2 linked regions of the Mytilus edulis genome follow. The protein of the gene in region 2 binds, or shares a complex with, the protein of the main gene of each other region. Links are inferred from orthologs where the notes say so. Each region holds a gene or a part of one and is shown on either strand. Other genes may lie near its edges.

What was found.
Region 1: mediator of RNA polymerase II transcription subunit 4-like (region 2) and mediator of RNA polymerase II transcription subunit 8-B-like share a complex: the UniProt entries of both Caenorhabditis elegans proteins name them as parts of the mediator complex. The link is inferred for Mytilus edulis from reciprocal best matches to the Caenorhabditis elegans genes mdt-4 and mdt-8.

Annotation. Positions count from the first base shown.
Region 1 is NC_092344.1:62,054,009-62,057,770, reverse strand, and holds the start of mediator of RNA polymerase II transcription subunit 8-B-like, read left to right. Parts: upstream 1-1,494; 5' UTR 1,495-1,509; coding exon 1,510-1,527; intron 1,528-2,182; coding exon 2,183-2,301; intron 2,302-2,906; coding exon 2,907-3,051; intron 3,052-3,762. Other genes in the region: nuclear transcription factor Y subunit gamma-like, read right to left, coding at 836-850. UniProt on the Caenorhabditis elegans protein: Component of the Mediator complex, a coactivator involved in the regulated transcription of nearly all RNA polymerase II-dependent genes.
Region 2 is NC_092346.1:52,328,950-52,332,711, reverse strand, and holds the start of mediator of RNA polymerase II transcription subunit 4-like, read left to right. Parts: upstream 1-905; 5' UTR 906-1,006; coding exon 1,007-1,074; intron 1,075-3,762. Other genes in the region: eukaryotic translation initiation factor 4E type 2-like, read right to left, coding at 860-879. UniProt on the Caenorhabditis elegans protein: Component of the Mediator complex, a coactivator involved in the regulated transcription of nearly all RNA polymerase II-dependent genes.

The DNA.
Region 1 (3,762 bases), on a different chromosome or scaffold from region 2:
ACACACACTTTATCACTTTTTTTTATACTTTTATTCAAAGGTATTTATAAAATTTTATTGATGTTACTTACTTCAAATTTTGAGGTATGCCTATGTCAAACATGAAAGCAATATGACATGAAAATTGTAAATTATGATTTTATAAAATATTTGTTACCATTTAAAACTTAAATGCAAAGATTTAAATTTAAAGTGTTAATTTTAATTTTAGAGGAAAAACAGGGAGACAACTCAAATTTCTTTTTCATATTCCCTAAATAAGTTTTTTTTTAAAATAAATATAATATATATAAATATATTATTATGCAATTATTATGAGATGAGAAAGACATTCCAAGATGAGGAGTCAGTAGACACCATTAGCCTATTTAAGGACTACAGGATAAAGCTACATGTAAAGGTATAAAGGGTAAAATGGTAAATTATATCTTTTTTTAAATTTCCAAACATAAAATGAATGAAGAATTATTTTTGCATTTTAAACAATCTTGTATAAAATACATTTTAATACCCAAGTCTAGATGCAGATTTGGTGGTGGTGGTGGGAGGGGTGGACTCCCCCCTTTTTGTGGTAAATTGGTTGATTCTACAGGGAAACACTGTATGAGGCATGACTTGAGCGGCCATCTGAGGCAGTCAGTGGCCCCAACCCCTTATGAAAAATTCTGGATCCACCGCTGAAGTGTCTAGCCTAAATTGAGTGACATTTATTCATATCAAAGCATTTTTTTTCTATATTTCACAAATATATGCATGAAAAAGAGGGAAAGGGGGTAGTTCTTGTACAAAAATGAGAATAATATTAAATATAAATACATGTATATCAATGTCTTACTTTGATCAGTCTCATTCTGCATAGTTCCAATATTAACTGAGACAACACCAAAGGTTGATAAAATTATGGGAAATTCATTTTCAGAATTTGTTTTTGTAGTAACATTCTAAAAATAGAAAGCAATTCAAGGAAGCCATTTTTGTTCTGTCCGTGAGGGGATATTTGTCAACACATGACTGTCGATCACAGAGAGTTTATTTGGAGAAACATTTTATTTCATTTATAAATTGCTACTTCTTTGATACAGGGAAATGTTTGTAAATTATCATTGGAGATTGGGTCGAAGAGTGGACCAATAAATTGGTCGGGAATCGACACCCAATCAACACTGACCTACCCACCAATGAGAACAAAGAATTATTCAATGAAACAAGGTGCGCGGATTGGTTCAAAGTAGCTTCATGTAGAACCTGGAAGTGTATGGGTTTCAAAACAGTTACCTTTCAGCCTTGAATATTCTTGATATAAATTTTATATAATAAAATTCTGTCTTTTCAGATCCTTCAAAATAATGGCTGATATGCGATTTGGTAAATTCTTCCGATTGCGCATGCGTGAATTCGGTATTGTATTTCCGGTTTAAAAATCAAGAAACTATTATAAAGAAAAACAAAAATGCAGGTTAAAAACTAATTTTATAGAGTGTGTTTTGAGGAAACAGTTATAAAGAAGGCATGCACCTGTTGGAAGAGGTGCATAGTTATCCCTGAAGGATTTTTGGAGTTAAAAAAAAAGTTTTAAAAGAAAACTTCACGTTTATTATGTTTATGCTGTTCATTTTATCATGTATACAAAGTGCATGTGTTTGACAGCAAAAATACTATTAGTATCTTTCTCATGGTCTTCTTTCAGTTTCCATCATATTATATTTATATATTATAATTTTATAATGCTTTCATTGGTAAATTAACTAGAAAGTTGACTTTGTCAATCTTGTCTGCCTTGTTTGTTGTGGTCTTCATTTTTTTCACCTTGGCTGTTAAACTTTTACACTTATTGAAAATAATTTTGACAGTTTAATAATTCTATGTCACCCTCTTGATTGTGATAGTCTAAAAATAGAAAATTTATGTACATTGTATCCTTAAAAGGATGCTTTCGAATTCGGCATCTACACTGATGTGCCAAATGGATACATTCAGCATGCCCACAAGGATGTAAAAAGGATACATGAAAGGGTTAAATTATCATAAGAGTACATACATTTTGTGAAATTAAAATTAGTGTTAGGCTAAGACCAGAAAATGGCTGAATATGTTTATTCTGAAAAGACCGGTTTTACTAGCTTTACAAATTTACTACCATGACTACAACTACAATGTACATATTTCATTTGATTTTTTCCAGAAAGAAGAAAAGCAATTAGAAGCCACTGTAGATGCCTTGATCCACAGAGTTCAGGATATCAAAAATTCCATTGCATCGTTTCTCTTTAAGCTTGAAAATGAATATCAAACATTGAATTGGTAGGACATTATGTTTTAATGGTTAATATGCTCCTTTAGACAACAGACAAAGTGTGGACACATGATCATACTGATATAAACACTGAGTTATGCATAATACAATTCTTAACACAACTCAGAAATTGCAAAGGAGCTGGATAGTTCAATGAACAGATGAAAGAACAGACAATAAGAATCAAGCACAAAAAGATCACAAGACCAGGGAATCTCAAAATAAGATGCATTTTCTTTGACAAATATTTTATTAAAATTTCAAAACTGTTTTGTACAATTACCATGTTTACCATCTGGCAAATGTAAACATGATGTGGCAGAATAAAATTAAAAAAACATGTACAAAAAATAACAAACTTTGATATATTAGACATTGTAAATGAGCTAAAATTATTATAGAAGTTACTTGTAAATAATGAATTGTACTTGACTATAGCCATGATAGCTATATGTCATTTTTTTTTTATTGAAGTATAAATTCTTACCTTAAAAGCTACTATCTGCTTAAACCTTTTATCATGATAATGATTAAAAATTCGATATGTTCTTTCTTTTAATCAGAGAGCATGTTCATGTAGTTAATGTCTTAAAATATCCCTTCTTGTTTTCAGGCCATCTGTGCTGGATAATTTTGCTCTGATATCTGGTCAGCTAAATAGTCTTGGTAAAGTCCTGAAAAATGACAGATCACCACATCTTCGAAATCATCTCTTGTTACCGCTGGCACTGAGACCTGATAGAGATGCTGAACTTGAGGTACTGAAAAGATAAATCATACATTATTTTATGATCTAATAGATATAAGAAGATGTGGTATGTGTGCCAATGAGACAACTCTCTATCCAAGTCACAATTTATAAAAGTAAACCATTATAGGTAAAATTAAGGTGTTCAACACGGAGCCTTGGCTTGCACTGAACAACAAGCTATCAAGGCCTCCAAAAATTTCTAGTGTGAAACCTTTTAAATGGGAAAACCAACGGTCTAATCTATATAAAAAACATGAAACGAGAAACACTTATGTTATGAACCAAATCAACAAACGACAACTACTTAACATCAGATTCATGAGGTGCAAACAATTTCAGTGGGTTTAATTGTTTACATGGTACCAAACCTTCACCCTTATCTGAAACAATAGTGTAACATCACAACACAGAAAGACACAATATAAGATATCAATTGAAATTTGAAATGGCTGAACACGACATATTAACATGTGTGAACATACAATGAAAGAATAAATTTGATCTATGATTTAAGTATGACTTATTGTATATTCAATAAACATGAATAAACTTCAGGAAGGGACTTTTCACTTAAGTTAAACTTTTCAATTATGGTAACTTTAATGTTTATAATTATATAAGGTGTTTATAAAAATCAAAATACTCGCAAATCTTCAAATTCAGAGAAGAAGTAAAAACCAGCTTGCACCTGTGTGTTTATGTCATCTGTGACAGATTT
Region 2 (3,762 bases):
TGTATATACATGTATGACAAAGAAAGTTTTCAAGCTATAAACAAAAGAATTATTTCAAACTTGTACTACTTGAATAATTATACTTATAGCATATTATATATGTATAATTCATCTGAAATTGAATACAAACGATGTGTTGTCATACAATGTCATAGTGACAGATATGACATCTCAAAATTTTTAAAATGTTTTCTAAAATATTCATCGCGACATGAAACACACAACATTAATTCTGAAATGCACTTTATGGTGACACAGGCATAATTAATGACACAATGTATCATGCAAAACTTTAGTCCAAATAATTATGACGTCTTGAAAGGCTATTATATTATTTTTATTTGACGCCTTACTTCGACAAACTTGGGCTTGTTGTACATTGTACATGTCTGACAAAGCACTGGATTTATCTCAGCTTGAAAGGCTGTCCTACAATTTCATTCATTGTAACAGTAATGTAAATGTACAGTGCTAGCTTATCAGGATACTGTAAAGTCTAGGTCTGGTCTAAACAGCTGTTGACACATATTTTTGATTCAAAGTTGACTTTTTTTTTTTAAATTATACACACGAAGAAACAAAAGTACCATGGTCGGATTTTATGATACCTTAAAGAAAAATAATAATTGCAGTTTTCATTAGTTTCGCTAATAAATGTAACCTGTTCATCTTGGACTTGGTGACTATTCATAAGTTGCACGTGTTTGGGCAAATTGATGACGTCAAAATTATGCCTTTTGCCGAACAAAAATTGACCCTACGGAAAAATGTGTCAATGGATTGGCTAGGTGTCATGCGATTTACTTAAAGATCTTTAAATATAATTGGTCAATTATGAATGTATGCATGTTTTACGTACGCATCAAATTTGTTGTTCATGATGAGTTTGTTTTGATTTTATTGACATTCACTTCCGGTTTCCTTTTCTTGTATGTGAAAGTGTATTCGATTGGTTCATAAATGTTTCCTACTCTATCAGCATAATTTATTGGTCGAATAATTCAGCATGGCTTCCTCCATCAGCACCAAACAAAAACTTTTACAACAAATTGATGATGTTGAGTTGATATCTAAGTAATTTCACTAATAGTATTACTGTCATTTCACATATTTGAAACACCAAATGAAATGCATGGTCTAGACCATATAAAAATGACAACTTTAGTTTTTTTTCCTACCCAACTTGTGAAACCTGGAAAACTGCCATGACTGTTATTGTCTTTTCTGTCTGCACTAATTATATTAAAACAATAAAAGTGGAGGGGAAAAAGTGAAAGGGTTACCAATTTTAACAAGGATATTGCTGATCTTTATTATATAAATCCTTGATTTTACCACATACTGTAGACATTTAATTATTTTATTTACTAATCAGATGTTGTGAAGGATGCAGGTCGTTTTGTAGTCCTAATAATTATGACGTCTTGAAAGGCTATTATATTTTTTTTCTTTGACGGTTTCGTAACTAGTCGATTCCTAACTTACTAGGTTGTTTAGTACCTGTGATGTTTTGTAACCTAAGAAAACTGTTATATCAATATGTAGGACTCTAAAGTGCGATGGGGACGCTTAAGTGCGATGGTCACGCTAAAGTACGATGGTGTACGCTAAAGTGCGATGCCATGACACGATAAAGTGCATTTTTCCATGAATGCGTGTTTGTTCGCGAAAGTGTGAATGTTTGCATTATGACGCTTGAAGCCAATTTGAACATACAAAAATTGACATGCCGGTAAACAAGAATATTTGTGGCTCCCTATGAAGGTTTTTTACAAGACAAAAAAAAAGAGATATAAATGAAACAAAACACTTTTAGTAGGTGATATAGAAGACTGTATGCAGAGGATTTTTTTCCAACAAAATCACCCACCGTACAAAACCTTTCAACTCGCTGTGTTTTCCCATCAACATAGAAAACTGATGACAGTAAGGGGAAGGTGCTTACCGTAAAAGAGAGAAAAAGTCAAAATACACCAAGTGTCAAAGTATTTCAATTCGTTCAAATTTAATTTAGAAACTCCTTCTATGTTTATAATCGAACTTGCTTGGAATAAAAGCTACTTTTTAAATTTCTAATTGAGTTATTCTATAACCTGAATATTTTTGTACAATATGTATTGTCATGTCTGTGAAAGAGATGGATATTCATCAACAAGATAGTGACATACCAAGCAGTTATGAAGTATCATCATATGATTGCCGATGACACAAGTCTAGATCTAAACTGGAATCGTATGGCTAACCCAGCAGATAAATAGTAGATTTATGACTAAAGGTTTTCAGAACGACCATTGCAAAATAATTGATATGAGAAAAATAACGGACTGATTTATACAGAAAAAAATCAATTAACAAACAAAAAAACAAATAAGAAGATGCCAATGAAACAATTATTCACCAAACACAAAATGTTGCAGATGTGCGCACTTAATAACTTATGATCCAAGGCGTGGAGTATCGGCTCTAGTCGAATAGCTAGTTATATAAACCACACAATAACTCGTGTACAACAATTCAAAAGAGAAAAACAACGGCATAATTTATAAACAATATACAAAAACTAATATTAACACCGCAAAAAACAAAAGACATTGCCTGAACACCATTCCAGTTACACCATCGCACTTTAGCGTGGCATACCATCGCACTTTAGCATGTCATCTGATCTCATTTAAAAACAAACAACCATTGCACTTTAGCGTCTGACACCAATGCACTTTAGCGTAGACCATCGCACTTTAGCGTGACCATCGTACTTTAGAGTACCATCGCACTTTAGAGTCCTACAAATATATAATAATATGAGTCGTAGGTTACTAAAAAAATAATGAAAAGACCTATTGATGTACATATATATCTATATTTATTTATTAAATAATTGATTGCACATAATTTTACACTTTACAATTACAGTTTTGCACACATGCGATAGAACAGAAGAATTTAAATTGTCCATCATTTAGATGTACCCCGTCTTTGTCAAAGTATTTAGTCTTCTGCCACGTGCTTTGATGTCTCCAATACTTACACCACTCATCTTTATGTTGCCGACTTTCTTATATTAATATTTTTTTTTCTATCATAAGTTGTTTCTTTCATGTTTCTTGTTTTTTGTATATGGACCAACTGCTGCTGCTGCTCTGGTCAACTAAGACTTGTTTCATGTTTATACCAGGGTTTTTCAGATGAAAAATAAGGCTTTATGCCAGTATAACATGCAATCAAAGAACAACATAGTGATGTCTCTGAGAGAAAGTAAAAGGAATAGAGTAAAATAAGAGTTATAAAAAAATCAAATAAAAACTTTAACTCCGTCAACGCCGGTCCCAAGTCTGGGTGAAAAAGGAGGAGGGTTATGCATTGGCATGTTAAAGTGAGAAAAAAGTAGAAAATAATTATTTTTAGGTCGTGTGCCATAGGTCATGTGTCATTAATCAACTTAATCACTTTACACGTACCATAATTACTTTTTATTAACTGTCATTAGTTGTCATAAAAACATTAAAGCTGTCACTGAGCGTACCAATTAACCAATAATTTAAAAGATTTAAGAAAGTTTTAAATTAAAAACATTACAATATTGTTATTATTGGATGAACAATTTGATCATTTATAAATAATAACTTTAACTGTTTCATTTAAGGAGGTACCTAACACTTTAACTAAAATTAATTTGGCTCGTTTAATTTTCTTTAAATTTTGACAAAGTGTTTACTTTGACCCTTTGACAAAAATATAAGAAATTCAAAAAATTTGAACCAA